Linked DNA regions of Alligator mississippiensis. The protein of the gene in region 1 interacts with the protein of each later gene in a biochemical or structural test. Links are inferred from orthologs where the notes say so. Each region holds a gene or a part of one and is shown on either strand. Other genes may lie near its edges.

The links.
Region 2: the proteins of TNKS2 (region 1) and LNPEP form a complex in vitro, tested with the Homo sapiens proteins (4 studies listed by BioGRID and IntAct, with this or other methods). The link is inferred for Alligator mississippiensis from reciprocal best matches to the Homo sapiens genes TNKS2 and LNPEP.

The regions. Positions count from the first base shown.
Region 1 is NC_081829.1:68,961,482-68,969,021, reverse strand, and holds the start of TNKS2 (poly [ADP-ribose] polymerase tankyrase-2), read right to left. Parts: upstream 3,207-7,540; 5' UTR 3,119-3,206; coding exon 2,923-3,118; intron 1-2,922. UniProt on the Homo sapiens protein: Poly-ADP-ribosyltransferase involved in various processes such as Wnt signaling pathway, telomere length and vesicle trafficking.
Region 2 is NC_081826.1:238,311,946-238,320,148, reverse strand, and holds the start of LNPEP (leucyl-cystinyl aminopeptidase), read left to right. Parts: upstream 1-4,993; 5' UTR 4,994-5,390; coding exon 5,391-5,409; intron 5,410-8,203. UniProt on the Homo sapiens protein: Release of an N-terminal amino acid, cleaves before cysteine, leucine as well as other amino acids. Degrades peptide hormones such as oxytocin, vasopressin and angiotensin III, and plays a role in maintaining homeostasis during pregnancy.

The DNA.
Region 1 (7,540 bases):
TCTGTTGTGAGAAGGGAAGAGGTGTGGGGAGCGGCAAATTGAGGCCCCTGCAGTAGGGAGGGACTGGGGCAGGCATTGCACAGCCAGTGGGGGGCGTGGGATGAGTCATGAGTGGCTTGACCAGGGGGAGAGGCTCCTGCCACTGCACGCATCCTGGGAGGTCATGGGGGGCATGTTCCCCTGGATCTGCGTGTGGGGCGAAGGCAGGCTGCTGCTGTGGACTGGGGCAGTGCTAGGCTATCCCTGGCAGGGGTGTTGGGCAGGGCTGGGCTCGGGGCAGGCGGCAGCAGTGCTGGGAGGGGGGCTATGGCAAATTCTGGGGTGGCTGCAGCAGCCTTCCCCCTGCAGCCCCTTCCCAATGCCACTGCCACCTGTCCCAAGCGCAGCCTGGCTCTGCTCCCCTCCCAGGAAGAGCCTGGCACCACCCCAGTCCCAGCCTGCAGCAGCAGCCTGCACTTGTCCTGAACACAGGTCACATGCCCCCACAGATGGGTGCAGGGCAGAAGCTGCTTCCCCCTCCCCCTGCTGAACAGTGCCTGCCCTTGCCCCACTCCCTCCCTCACCCTGGGGGCCTCAATCTGCCCCTCCCTAAGCCCCTTCCCTCCCGGCACACCAGACGTACCAGCCTGATGCTGGTGTCCAAGCTGCCCAGCTGCATATCAGAATTGGATCAGTATTGGCTGATACGGCTCCTTAAAAGAAGATTAAATTTGGCCATTGGTACTGGCCCAAAAAATCTCTATCAGTGCACCCACAGTTTTGTGGTACTTATTCCTGACTCTGGAGCCACTTGCAAGACCAAATATTGGAGTTCACATATTGAGTCAGAGACAGGCCTTCTTTCCTTTCCTATCCTCTCCATTATTGTGAGAAACATTCCACTGCAGAACAGCCAAGAGATGCCTCTACCACCCTTTTTTCCAGCTATGACAACTAAGCTTATTGTGTAGATTCCTGTGACTTAACTCCTAGATCTTCCTTGGGATTTGAAATGGTTTCTCTAGCCTTTCTGCATTGAGTTAATAGCCCTTCTACTTACGTTTGTAAGTAGTGTGTTCTTTTGTGTAGTTACCGTAGATGAACAGAGTTTCTGTAAAAAAATTTTATTCACAGGAACAGCATCTAGTTACCATAAACCCCACCAACTCTCTATTGTACTTTTTGGTTGACATGCTCCTTGTCTGCCTGTGTGACATGAAATCTGTTTTTGACAGCTAGATACCACTACCTTTCTGCACAGGGATTGACCAACAGTCTATTTAACCTTCAATACAACTTAATGGCCAGAGGTGCACTTCTGCCGCATACTACAGAGTCCAGATTAATCTTCAACCAGATCCTACTGTCACCGTCTTTCTATCATTATTATGTGTGCTTTAAAATCCACTTTATAAAGTGTCTCTCGTATCAGGAAGAAGACTGGAAATTGCTTTTATTTAAGGACTGCGAGAGAATTCAACAATGTCTGCCCAAAAAAGTTAAAAAAAACCCAAAACAAAACCAAACAAACAAGGACACCTAAGTTGCAATGCAAGGACACAAACCAATTCAAACAGTTCCTTGTGCTGTGGCTTCACCTCTGCGTCAAAGCAATAGTCTATAAAGGCGAACAGATTTCTCTAGAAGAGAATTAAACCAACAAAATTTTCCCAGCACATGCTCTAGAAATGAAAGTACACACCCAAGCTTATTAATAATCGTTTTGCAGTGAATAAGACAGCAGAGCCTTTGTTACCACTTCCTGGAAGGTTTCTCTATCTTCTATAACCTAGTAATCCCTCCAGAGACAGAAAACTGAAGGAGCAGTACTTAATAATATTCAAACCTTAACCAAGGGAACAAAACACAAATTAAAACTAGTGTTCTATATTATATTATAGTCTTGATTTTATTATAGTTCAGGTCACTGTAGAAAAGGCCCAACTCCAGCAGTGGAAGTCAATCTTAACAAGAGACTGGCAGCTCTATCAGATTTTATCAAAGTCTAGCAGGCTGAGCTGTCCTAGGAGGGAAATCATCAGTAACCTCCTTGTAACGCAACTGTATCCAGTAATGAAAGGGATGAGTATAGTCAATTAAGTGACCGCTCAGCGTCTTTACTGCCTAGTGGCACACATCCCCTGTGCCTCTCTCTGTTTAGAATCTAAACTAATGCAACAAGGGTTTTATTTTTCAGATGTAAGAGTTTTCAATTTCCATTTTGCAAACCCAAGCAGGATGATTCTTTTGCTCATGCAGGCATTTAAATGGTACTGTTTTACATGACTACCTCCTCAGAGCTTCGATTTTTCTGTTATCACCTCCATAATGTGCAACAGATGAATAAAGATTTTTGATTAATAATAAAAAACCTTGATGAGTGAAGAATTAAGGGATTGAAAGCAAACAAGTGGGTGCCCGGCTTAATTAAAGGAAAACATTCTCAAGGAAGAATGATTTGAATCAGCTAGCGGGGCACCCTGCTCATGAACACATGGCTCCACGGACTTAAAAAGCCGACTGATCACTTTGGAGGTCAGGATGGAAACCACCCGTCTCAGAAGACGGCAGCCGTGGGGGCTTTTTGTGGGCTAATGCACCTGGGTGCAAACTTCTGAATAAAAGCACTGGGGCCAAGACACTGCTCAACCAGTGCAGGGCCGGTATTTGTGAGGCCCTGCGCTGCGTACAGCACCTTGCTCCCAGGTCCTGTGGCGCGACGCTCTACCCCGCCGTGACCCCCCGGCAGAGACTAGAAGTCGCCCGTGCCAAGCAGCTGGTCCCAGTTACGTGGCTGCCAAAGACCACTCGTGTCCCAGCGCTCGGGGACACCCTGGTGCCGCCTGCCGGGGGCGGCGGTGGCGGCGATGTCGCGGTGCAGGGCCGGCCCAGGCGCGAGGCGGGGCGGGGCAGCCCGGCGGGAGGCAGCGGGCCCGGCCGTACCTGCGGCGAAGTGCAGCGGGCTGGACTTCCTGCCCGCCGTGTCGCGGCTGTTCACGTTGTCGGGCCGCACCAGGCGCTTGACGCGCTCCACGTCCCCGTTGCGGCAGGCCTCGAACAGCTCCCGCGCCGGCTCCGCGCCCCCGCAACCCGGCGCCTCAGCCAGCGCCGCCCCGCCCGCGCACCGCCGCCCCGCCATGCCCGGCCCGGCCCCGGGGCAGCGGCGCGGAAGCCTCCGAGCGGGCGACACGGCCACTGCCTCCCTGCAGCTCCCGGCGGCCGAGAAGGCCCGGCGCGCAGGCGCACTGACAGCGCCGCGGAAGTGGGGGAGAACGAGCGCGAGACCAACGTGCGCGCGGCGCATGCGCTGTCCCGCCGGGCTCCGCTCGGGGGCTTTGGCCTCTGCCCTGCAGGGCCGCGGGCGCTCTCGGGCGCCCCCTGCAGGGTCTGGGTGGCGCCGCGTGTCCCCCTCCCTGTCCCGGGCACTCCCGGCCGTCCTAGACCGGGGAGCTCGTGGGGGCGGGGCCGGAGGCGTCCGCGTTCATGGTGGATCTCGGTCCCTGTCCCGGCAGCACACGGTCACCATGAGCGTGGCTTGTAACAGTGTGCTGGGTTTTGTTTCCATGCAATAGAAGTTTTGCTGCTTTAATTATGCCAATAGCGTGAGTGGTGGGAGTAATGCAGCACCAGTATAAAAGTCCCCCAAATTAGGGCACCAGTGTAACTGCACTGGGGCTTTTACTGGTACAGGTGTGCCAGAAAAACCTCATGTTCTTGACCAACTCTTAGACTAGTAAAATGCTGGGGTGTAGAGCAGCCCGTAGGCTAGGTGCACAGGGCAGGCGGCCACCAAGACTGATTACCAGTGAATGGATCCAACTGCCCAAGCAAAGGAGCAGCCAATGTACAGGACAGTGTCCTGGGCAAAACCAGCCCAGAGGCCCTGGAGACTTTACATCTGATCCCTGGGATATAGCTATTGAATGCTGTGGGCATTAGGCTCATACTCCAAAGAAATTGGGGGTTGCTTAAATGTTGCTGCTTTGAGGGTGTGACGGACAGAGAGGCTAGAAAAATATCATTTGCATTGCAGGATCAGTGTCCCGGCACAGCTGATCTGATTTGACAGGTAGAGACATCACCTGAAGATGTCCTGTAGGGTCAGGCCCCTCCAGGGTCTGCAGGGGCCCAATCCTGGTTCCCAGGTGCGATGTGGAGTGGAGAACCCAATGGGATTCCCTTGCTCTGCAGCATGAAACATGCCCCAGAATCCCCTGCAAGAGAATTCCCTTGATGTGCTTGCAGCCATGTGCCGTAGGGTGAAGAGGGGGCTATGACTGCGATGGAAGCAGTGGCTTGTGGGAAGCGTGGGTTCCCTGTCATTTCATATTGCTGGGGTTGGGCTTTCAGACACCCTTTGCAATGTCCCTGGGCAAACAGTTACCACATTTTTTGTGGCAGCAGATTTTGGGTTTTGTCTCAGACACTGGAAGCGGGGGACCAAGTACTCCCTGAAGGGCCCAGCCAGCAGCCTGCACCCAGGGGCATGTCTGTCCGTCCCCGCCCCTCCCCCCCACCAAAAAAAAAAAAAATCAGTACTCCACTGGATGCCTGTTTCTACCCAGAGAGGAAATATGAGTTTGTTAAGAGAATATAAAATTGGTTCTGTCTCATCTTGTAAGTCAGCAGTAAGCATATTTAGCTGGGATTACTATGAATTTTAAGACTCAGTATGACCAAGTAGTGTTTTAAGGTAAAAATAGTTAGTTTTACAAAGTTTGTCGGTCAATATCACTTGTCATAGGTCACCAAAAGGAGGGAATCTTGGTGCCTGAAACTAAGTCAGATCTCCAGAGTGATAAATGGCTTATATATTGGGCACGTCTATGTGAGATGTTTACTAGGGAGTTGCCTAATGAGCTCTGCAGTGAATGTCTCGGTGTCTACACATATGGCCCTATTAGGTCATAGGAAACTAATACACTCCACAGCAGGTTAGTACTTGTAAATACAAGTGTGGAGTTTTTTCATGCACAGCAATGCATGTGTAGATGCTGATGGAGCTGGCTGGGTCAATAGAGTGCTTCAGTGTGTGGGCTGCCTACCAGCTATCCTTGCACTGAAGCACCCTTGTGCCGCAGCCAGCCCTTCCACAGCAAGTTGAGCTAGGTTGGAGTAGCCACAGGCTGGCAGGCTGACCCCCCCAGGGCCTCCTGCCAATCAGGCTGCTCTGACCAGGCTCGATGTGCTACAGTCCTGGGTGCACATGTAATTGCAGCACTCACGAGCAATAAACTCTGGCATGATATGCACTGGAGTTTATTGTGTTGCATTAATTGGCACATGTAGATGCGCCCATTGGGTAGCATATACTACTGGAATAGAAGCATAAAAATAATGATATTTCTCCCAGAAACAAATCAGGGCAAGTGTTCCAGCACCTGAGGGGCAGTTCTTAAGGACAAAGAAGAGAGGAAGGTGCAGCTAGCCCTGCAACTGTGACCAAGGTCCATTAATTTGTGAGGGCATGGACACATACTAACACTTAGAATATGGCTGAAAGTGAAGTGGACAGACATATAAGCCAACTACACCAGTTTAAATATGTCTGGTAGGCTGTCAATAGACATCTAATTTGACATGGATCTGGTTGTCTCAGAGTTTGGCCCAGATCAAAACAAGTGTGGCACAGCCATTTACACGTCACCCTTCCAAGATTTATTGCTGCTCCTTAGAGACATAAATTACCATGTCAGGAAAAAGCATTAGCACATTTTATCCTGAATATTTCAGAGGCATTTGAAGTGCAACAATGAACTTAGCAGACAAGGTTCTTTAGGTAAATGTGATATCTTTTATTAGACCAAATAAATAGTTGGAAAAATTATTCTTTGCAAGCTTTCAGGCAAAAACATCCTTCAGGCCTAGGGAGAATCTGCTGTTACTTTGTGTTCTCCTGGATGGAATAGAAGCTGATATACAAAATGCAAGTCTGTGAAAATTCAAATACATGGCAGTGAGGATCAGAAGCCATGGGATGGTAGGTTCTGGAATATGAAACAATTATTTGGCCATTTTCTGACTTCTGAAAAAGAAGTGGCAGAGGGAGAGGTGAGAGCTGTGAATGGGAGCAGTAGATACAGTTGCTTTTGATAGGTTTGAGATAGGTGGGTGGGTGAGTAATGTTGACAGATATACAGTGAACTTAACATCTGTTAGATCCTGGGAAAAAAGGCTTTCTCCCAGGACAAATGCAATGTTTATTTGTAGTCAAACAGTTTAAAAGTGTAACTGGAAAATCAAGTACTATTTTGAACCAGTTCACTGTGAACCAGTTCAGTTTTATGGGGAGCACTTTAGACAATGCTTAGCTGCTGGCCCAATGGTTGGAGTATTTTGCTGGGAAGCAGGAGACATGTTCAAACCCCTTGGGCTGATATAACTCAAATCTGCTCCTTCACAAAGTGCCTTGACCTCTAGGCTACTGGGCTAAAAGGAGAGGGGGCAGCCCTCCTAAACACTTCCAGAAGGTAAACATGCAGGGCAATCCTATTTTCAAGGGATGAAAACAGAATCCCAAAGTGTGCGTAAGGGGCAACAACTCCACCAACATGACTACTTATGTGCCACTTGGGCACATGAAAAGGAAATAAGACTTAACATACAGATTTTACAACAAAAGGTGATCTTTGAGAAGAAAGTCTACTACAATCTTTACAACATGGCAGCTATGAATGCTCCCTTATTTAGGGACCGAAATAAGTGGCTTCAAAAGTGCTGAGCCATTGAAGTCAATATGTATATTACCTCACAAGGCTATATGATGGAATTTAATACCACAGGCATTTCTCAGTAGCACAGTCTACACGACACTATTTTATTTTGTGGGGGGGGGGGGTATGCTTTTCTGAAAATGTAATGAAAAAGTTAAAAATAGATTAAAAAACTAGCAGTCTCTTAAAATGTTATGACCTTTTAGATCTAAGATAAAAAACATTTAAACTACATCATGAACATGTCTACATGAGATGCTGACTGCGCAGTAGCCTAATAATACTGCACAGTAGCGTGTCACAGCACAGACAATGCTAATATGTTAGTGTGCAGTATTATTAAAAGACATGCACCGATGCTACTGTACAGTAACTCTAGTTACTATATATTTATTCGGTACTTGCTTATACAAGTACTAAATAAATATGCAGTAACCACTTCGTAGTAGTTGTCTTGTGTAGATGAGCCCAGTTATACTAAAAAGCACCGCTGTTACAAGTTACTTGTGCTTCTGCAAGGCTCTGCAGCAGCTGGAATATGGAACTGCATCATGGTTCACTTTTCTCTGAGAACCTGCAGTAACTGGAATGAAGGGGAGAAAGTAAGTTTTAAATTCATATGTAGTAGGAGCTTGATTCTTTAAGGTGTGGAATGTAATCGACTCTCACTGAGGTGAATGAGTCAAAACCTCAGCAACTTGAAGGACCAGTCCATTAATATCTCCTCATTCTGACTTTTTTCACACTTATTGTAGAACACCCAAATCCAGAAAAACAGCTAAAGTTTTAGCTTTCATTTATTAACCACATCTCAAATTATGAAATAGCAATTAAGACTGTAGCAGATT
Region 2 (8,203 bases), on another chromosome or scaffold:
TTAGAAAATTAATATTTATCTGTCCTTGGTTCCTGCTAAAAATGACATGAAGAAGGGGCAGTAGGACCCAGGGGAAGCCCAGCAGGCTCCTGCAACAGCAGGGCCTGCCCGGCCCCACCCCCACAGCTGGAAGCCCCAGCAGGGGCTTCTGGCTTGGGACTGTCTGACTGCACCGCACCAGAACCTCAGGAAGAGGGGGGATGAGGGGAGAGGACCCCAGGCAGGAAGGTTCCTGGGGAAAAGAGGTCCCTCACCCGCCCTGTGTCTGGCACTCCCTGCTGCAGTTGCTCGCAGCCCATGTGGGGCTGTCCTGAGCAGGCACAGGCAGCCCCACATGGGCTGTTAGCAGCTGCAGCGTGGGGTGCTGGCCACGGCATGGGCGAGGGGCCACTTTTTCCTCCCTCAGCACCAGCTTGTAACCCGGCCCTGCTGCCAGCCTGAACCTTGTGCCGGCTCTGGGTTCACCCATCGGGGCTGCACATGGTGGCAGCAGCTGTGGCCCCCCCAGGGCAGTTTGCTGCTGCTGCCTACCTGGAGCTTGCACACTGGGCAGGCCAGAGGCAGCGGTGGCAAACGCTGCCCAGCATGACAAGTGAGGAGGGCTGCAGCTGCTCCCACCACGTGCAGCCCTGACAGGCGAGCCCAGAGCTGGCGCGGGTCCCAGGCTGGCAGTGGGGGCAGGTTACAAGCTGGTGCTGAGTGCAGGAAAAGTGGCCCCTCGCCTGCCCCATGCCCGGTGCCGCATGCTGCAGCCGCTCGCAGCCCATGCAGGGCTGGCTGTGCCTGCTCAGGACAGCCCCATGCGGGCTGCGAGGGGCTGCTGCAGGGAGCGCCGGCCACGGGGCGGGTGAGGGGCCGCTTTTTCCCACACACAGCACCAGCTCCTTCCCTGCCGGTGAGCATGGGGTCAGAGCTGCATGCTGCCCCCTGCCTGTACCGCAGGGCTGGGGGGACACTGGGTGTGAGTGGGTGCACGGGGCCCACACCAGTGTCCCAGGGACAGCACTGCCAGGGCTCAGAGCAGGGTGGCAGGGGTACAGGGTCCTGGCTGGGAGGGGCTCTATGGAGCCTGGTCAACTCCCCCTCTCCCTGCTGGTGCAGCCCAGCCTATCTCCACAGACCCCTGCCAGCCTGCGCCCTACTCTGGGCCCCACCGGTGCTGGCCCTGAGACATTGGTCCCAAGACATTGAGACATTGGTCCTAAGATGGTGACCAGGGGGCAGGGCACCTGTCAAGGGCAACCCATGCAGCCCTTGACAGCTTGCCAAAATTGGGTAAGTAGCTCTCTGCCTGAAATAATTGCCAGCCCCTGAGTTAGACAAACTTTCAAATGCAAGACATTCATCAGGTTGCTGATTTATGGAATGTCATGGCAACAACTTTACTGTTCCACTAGCACTGTAGTTTATGACATATTGTTAAATCTTCTTACTATGTTGGTCACAAGGTAGAGGCCAGAGAGCAGTCTCACAATGCCAGGTGTTCTACAAACATAAGCCATCCTTTGACCATTTTTTTTCAGCATAATCCTGTATCTTTAAAGAGGCCTGGACTTTATATTCCTTAATTGTAGCTTTTAAACGAATGACCCCAACATAGTTGTGTGTTATCATCATCATAATTTTGTTCAGCTGTGAGGAGGTACCACTGCAAACATGCTCAGTGCTGTCATTTATGCAGCTGAGTAGTCCTACTGACCTCTTGGGAAACTGATTTGGATGGGACAACCAGGGATATCAATTTCGGTAGCCAGTCCTTAATTTGAGTCACCTGCCTCATAGGGATGTTTGATGCTAATAGCAAATTTTGAAGGGAAAATGGTATTTCAAGACTTGTTTACAAAGTTCTGAAAATGAAAGAAGTAACAGGGCAACCCCGTTCATCTTCTATGAAGTTTCTGTATGAGATAGTGCAATATCCCAGCAAAGTTACTACTTAGAGAGGAAACCTTTAAGGAAATTCCAGGTATTGAGAAAAGTGGTGTTGCTTGATTTACTCTAACAGAGCACTCTTGTTTTCAAGTCACAGCAGAGCCAGTGCCTCATTCAGACACACATGGCTCCTTATTGCGGGAGGTGCCACATTTACAAGACATAAAAGCGACCTTTTGATCACTAAAGCCATTAAAACTCTTATTACACTTTGCATAATTAGGAGTCTCACCCCTAAGATTAAATGGTAACTTTGGTAACTAAGGGCTAGATCCAGTAAGAGATTTAAATACTATACTGATGAGCATTGCACAACCTTAGAGACCTGAACCCTGACAGTGAAATCTAGACTCTCAAGGTGCTTAGGCTCTCTACACAATGCAAAAGGGAGTTAGGTGATTTAGAATAGGATCTAGGGCACTCACCTAAGAGAAGGGGGTCCAGCACTTTGCATGAAACAATATATGTGTAAACAGTTCTTGAAGCATGGACTGCAACCCAAATAAGTGCTCTAAACACTGGTTCTCAACCTTTTTTGTACCAGGACCCATTTGTAAACACTGATGGCCAGTCATGACCCAACCCACTGCTCCCTGCTCCACAGTGTGTGGGGCAGGGGGTGGGCATGTGGGGCAGGGATGTTGGGCAGGGGGCCTCAAGCAACCTCTTGCAGACTGGAACTCTGATGGCCCGTAAGGGAAAAGCCAGTTTCCCACGTTTTTCTCCTTTAAAGGAGAATCAATTTTTGATTCATTTTTAAAGTTTGTTCATGACCCTTTCATATATTCTTGCAACCCACTTTTGGGTCATGACCCATGGGTTGAGAAACACTGGATTAGAGAACCATGCTTTCTCTCTGTCTCTCTGTCTCTCTCTTTCTCTCTGGCTTAGTAAATCTGGATTTCTTTTTTTGGAAAGTGAGACAGCTTGAAAAAGTTGTGTGGACCTTCTCCCCCACAACAGCTTATAGCCTAATGACTAGGATTCTGAGAGTGGTGGGTGTGGGCTACCTCAGGCACAAGACAGATTGGATCTGGGTCACCCCATAACCTGTGTGAGGGCTCTAACCACTGATCTATGCATAAAAGTGGGGAGATGGTAGTAATACATCTCTGAGTTCTGTGCAGCTCAGTGCATTGGCCATGCTCTTAGAACGTACACCCAGCAAACATCTCAGGGAAGATGAGAAAGGGAATGCCTTATTTCCAGTCTGTAAGGCATGGAGTAAGCACTGAGTTACTCCAGCCTGCCAAAACTGAGGTGCTCCTGGGCATAAACAGAAGGCAGGCCTCCAGGGACCTGAGGAGCTTTAACAACAAAAACAAGTAGTTTTGGGACTGAGGAATCTCTTGGGTTAGGCAGCAGCTGAGCAGGAGTTTTCAGATTTGGACTTGGGTGGAAAAAAGGCACCTAAGTCCTTTTTTTTTTTTTTTTTTTGGTTGGGGGGGTTGGGATCTGAACCAAAGTCCATCCTGCAGTTTCATTTTGGCTAGCTATGGTATTCTGGATTTTTCTTAGGATCGGATATCCAGAAAAATGCCTTTACTGTTAGAATAGTGAGGCTGTGGAATAGACTGCCTAGGGAAGTTGTGAACTCTCCATCGTTGGAGGTGTTCAAGAGGTTGGATAGGCACTGTTCAGGGATGATCTAGGCATAGAGATGCCGATGTTCTACCATGGGTATTTCCCATGCTTCTGGGCTTTGCCCCTTTTGTGCCACATGTATCAGGGGGCTTTTAAGCATTGGGGGCTGGCTACAGTGTGTGACTGAGGTGTGTCAATGCTGCTCAGGGTCAGACTAATCATCATATTTGGAGTCAGGAAGTCATTTTATCCCATGGCCAAATTGATATGGCCTGTAGGGATTTTTGCCTTCCTCCGTAGCAGGGGGTGCGGCCCTTTACACAGGATCTCTTGAGCATATATTGGTGACGTTTCACAGAAGCAGGACCTTGGCTGTCCTGGTTCCCCTGCTTTCCCTGTGGCAGGTTAGGGTGTTAGGTCTACGTTGTGTCAGGGTTGACGTTACTCTTATGCAGAATTTAAATTATGGATTGTATGGGATGGTTCGGCTAGGGATGATCCTGCTTCATGCTGGGGTTTGGACAAGATGACCTCTGGAGGTCCCTTCTAGCCTTACTTCTCTGATTCTGTGAAACCCAAGCATTCATTGTCCTTCATATTTAAAAATAAATAAATAAAAGAATAAGGTTGAAAACTGAAGTTTAAATAAATCAATGAATGAATAAGCGAGGTTGGGACTCCTGCCTCCTTGCCTTCTGAACCCTTCCAGGACAATGTGGAATCACTTGTCAGGCGAGGTGCTTTCATTAGATGTGACATCTTTTATGAGCCCAACTGAGTAGTTGGAAAAAGTTCTCAGCAAGCTTTTGGGTGCAATCGCCCTTCTTCAGGTACAGGGAGTCTCTGCTGTTCACCTGTCAGCTTCTTCTTTGCACCCATTAACTTCTGTTCCCTTCCCTTCTTTTCCAAAAGCAGATTCTTGGGAGGGCATGACTCCCATGAAGCGTGCCTGCCAGAAAACCACCAGGCGGCTTAAATTAAACCTGCCAAAACTAGCGATGGCTGCTTCTGCCTGGGCTGTTTAGGTTAGGGTGGCACTTGTCGTGCCCTCAGGAGGCCTGCAGGGAATAATTAATCTTCAGGCATTTCCTTGGAGCTCACTGCTGGCCTGAGGGAAGCTATGCACCCTGCACGAGTCTTTGCTCAGGTCCATCAGGGCCCTGGAGATTTACTAGGATTAGAAGTGAGCCATTCTCTGCTTGGAAGGGGGGATCCTTGTGGTGGGTGCTAAGAGATCCTCTTGCAGTGCCAACATCTTTGGAGGTTTTTAAGAGCCGGGTAGACAAAGCCCTGGCTGGGATGATACAGGCGGGGATGGTCCTGCTTGGAGGGCGAGGTGACCTCCGGGGGTCCCCGGCTCCAGCCCTCATTGTCTGCGGCTCTATGACTGCAAAGGCGCGTTTATGAGGCGGTCTCACTGCGTCAGACACGGCCCCGCGGGAGGAAGGTGTCAAGCACGGCTGGAGAAGAAACTTTGCGAGGGAAGGTTTCAAGGCTTTGACCCGCGGGGGGAGGAGAGAAAGCAGCCGCCGGATCTGGCAGCGGCAGCAGGAGGAGGCGGAGGTTGTGAGGCGGTCGCAGCGCAGCCCGGCCCGGCCCTGCCCGGCCCAGCCCAGCCCAGCGCTGGCAGGGGAGGAGTGAGCGGCGGCGGCGGCGGAGGCGGAGGCCGGGCAGCAGAAAATGGTCGCTCGGGGCTCATCACCGCCGAGGCGCCGCCGCTGAGCGGGGTCCTTGCGCAGGGCGACGGGCGGGAGCGGCAGCGCCTGGGCTGGCCCAGTGGGGCCCGGGAGCATGCGGCGGCGGCGGCGCGGGGAGCAGTGAACGCTGCAGCTGCGCGTCTCGGCGCTGCCTTCCGCCGCGGCTCCGCCGGGGACATGGAGCCCTTCCCCAGCGGTGAGTCGGCGCCGGCCCCCACAACAAAGTTGCGGAGCAGCCGCGGGGAGCGGGGCGGGGGCGGGGGCGGGGCCGGGTCGGGCCGGGCCGGGCCGGGCCGGGCCGGGCCGGGCGGGAGCGGCCGCGGGGCCTGGGGCGCCCGCTTGTTCCCGCGGGCTCTGGGGCCGGGCCGGGCCGGGCCGGGGGGGGACACACACGTGCCCGGAGCATGTGCCTCTGCACTACGCGTGTACCTAGACATGGGTAGAGACACGTACATGTGCACCCTGCCCACTTCGGTTAGTCTACAGACGCATTCATACGTGTGCGTGCAGATGTGCATGTCTGTGTATATGTATACACATACAAGGACACCTTGTAGACTAACCAGAGTAGATTTGTATGTATTGTAATACATGTGTACTAGTGTGTGTGTGTACAATCTACTTTGGTTGGTCTATAATGTGTACATATATATACGGACACATGCATATTGTACGTATGCCTATATATGTGTATGCACGTGTGTGCATCTACATATATGTATTTACTTTGGTTACGTCTATAAGGTACAAATCTACCTTGCCTTTTACTTGACTTCAGTCTAACACAGCTGACTACATCTCTCAATTACTAAGGATGGGAGAAGTCCACAAAGATTGATTGATCTACCGCCCACCCCACACACACTTCGATTAATACAACCCCCCCTACCTATATCTACTTTAGTTAATGTGTGTGTGTACACTCCCCCCCCCCACACACCTATATCTACTTTAGTTAATGCATGCACACCCTCTACCCCCTGCCTATATCTGCTTTGGCACATGTACATGTCACAAGGTTTTGTGATCTCAGTGTCCAAAATAAGGGGAGAAGTAAAAAAAAAAAAAAAATAAGAGCAGATTGTTTAAAAAAGAAAAAGAAAAAAAGGGAACAGTAACTGGTTTTCCTAGTGTTCCTTTGCAGTTATTTGTGCCCTGGTTTGCACTTCTGCTGTGCCTTTGCATTGGGGACATGAAGGCATTTTAGTATAATGTCAATTAAACCTCACTTTTGTGAAACAGGAATCTCTATAGAGATCACCACTTCCTCTGTTAAATGCAGCCATGTCTGAGGTGAAATTTAGCAGTAATGTCTTAACAGCAAGACTCCACATCTGCTCCTGACAGAAAAGGAAGTGAAATGACCCTGTCATATTCATGCAGAAGGGAATTTGGTTAGACAGCAGGTTATAGCCTAATACAGAATTAGGACAGGACGCCAGTTGCAAGTCTTCTTCCTATTAAAAATCTTGCAGCATTTTTAATGGTGTGGTTAGGATCTTGTTCAATTAAATTATGGAAATAATTCAGTTAAAGAGTGGGAGCTGAAACTCCAGCCAGAAGGCTCTTTATTGTGCATCAGTTTCTCAGTGATTTATCATTCTATAAGATTAGTTTTTCTGCGAAATTCAAGGATTCCCATATGTTATGAAAACTTTCTAGTCAGCATTATGAAAAATTTCACCAGCCCACCAGTGCCTCATGCCTTTGCACAAAGAGCTTTGAATGTTACAAAGTTTAGCAATCTGATTAATTTAGTTAATTCTGAACATAATTCCCCCTTTTTATTTTTAAGAAGGGCCCACTAAAAGTTCTTTGAAACACTTGTTGAATTTTATTACCTTGTAATTAAAGCTTGTACAGGAAGTTTGTGCTTAGCTCCTGGCCAAAAATGTAAATGTTCATAATAAGTTTTCTGGTGGTTATTAAATCTAAGTTGTCTTTTTTTCCCCCTAGACTCTGTACATGAGGGAAAAAAATCTTCATTTCCATGAGATTGATCAGTAACACAAATTTTGGGAGTTGGAGTTCTTTTTGTATAATAGATTAATAGGAACTTTTTACGTTGGGAAATATTTGGTATAAAATTGATAATCACACTAAAAGATTTTTTGATTTGGACTCATTGTTAATGCATTAAAGTAGGAGGCCTGTGTTTAAATTCAGCTCTGCTCTTGAAGTTTTCAGTGACATGGTGTGGTAGCCTCAGAGAATGCTGCTGAAAAGTGATCTCTTGCTAATAGAGGAGCCATGTTATTCCTTTCTTAGCAGAGGCTAGAACATGTGCCTTTGAGGTGAGGGCAGTCGTAGTGTGTGGAGGAAACCTTGGTCTTGGAGTCAATGTGCAAATTCTCTCCTACGAATGCAGGCCTGAATGGTGAAAACTAAAAAGTATGTCTATAACACGTATGGGCCTTCATTGTTATGTTTTGTGAAATGTGCTACCACTAAATTCAGTAACTACATATACACTTTATGTAACTTGGGCAGCTCTCACTGCCTGCTTTTTGAACACAGATTTCAGTTTTTAGGGCTGGCAGTTTCATACCTCTTGAACATTAAGTCTATAATAATTATGATCACAAGAAAACCAAACTACCCCCACCTACTCCCATTTTCATTAGCTTCTGTCTGTATTCCTGTGATATCTCTGATCCCTAATTGTGGCCCGGGGCCCACAGTGCACCTTACGAATGTAGAATAAAAAGATGATCTCTCCCCCAAAGACTTTTAGTTTAAATTGTTTTTGTGCTTCAGCAAAAAAGAGAAAACTGACCAAAGCCTAGGAACAATACATTCTAGCCTGCTCTTTAGTTTTCTGCAAAACTTTCGTTGCCCCTTTGGGCAGCATGTGACATTTGGACTTTAATAATTATTTCCTCCTTTAATGCCCTTTGCCCTCCAAATGCAGATCATGTTAAATAAAATCTCAAAACCTATAGTTCAAATTTAGGATCCAGTTCTCTTGAACAGATGCATTCCTCCATCTT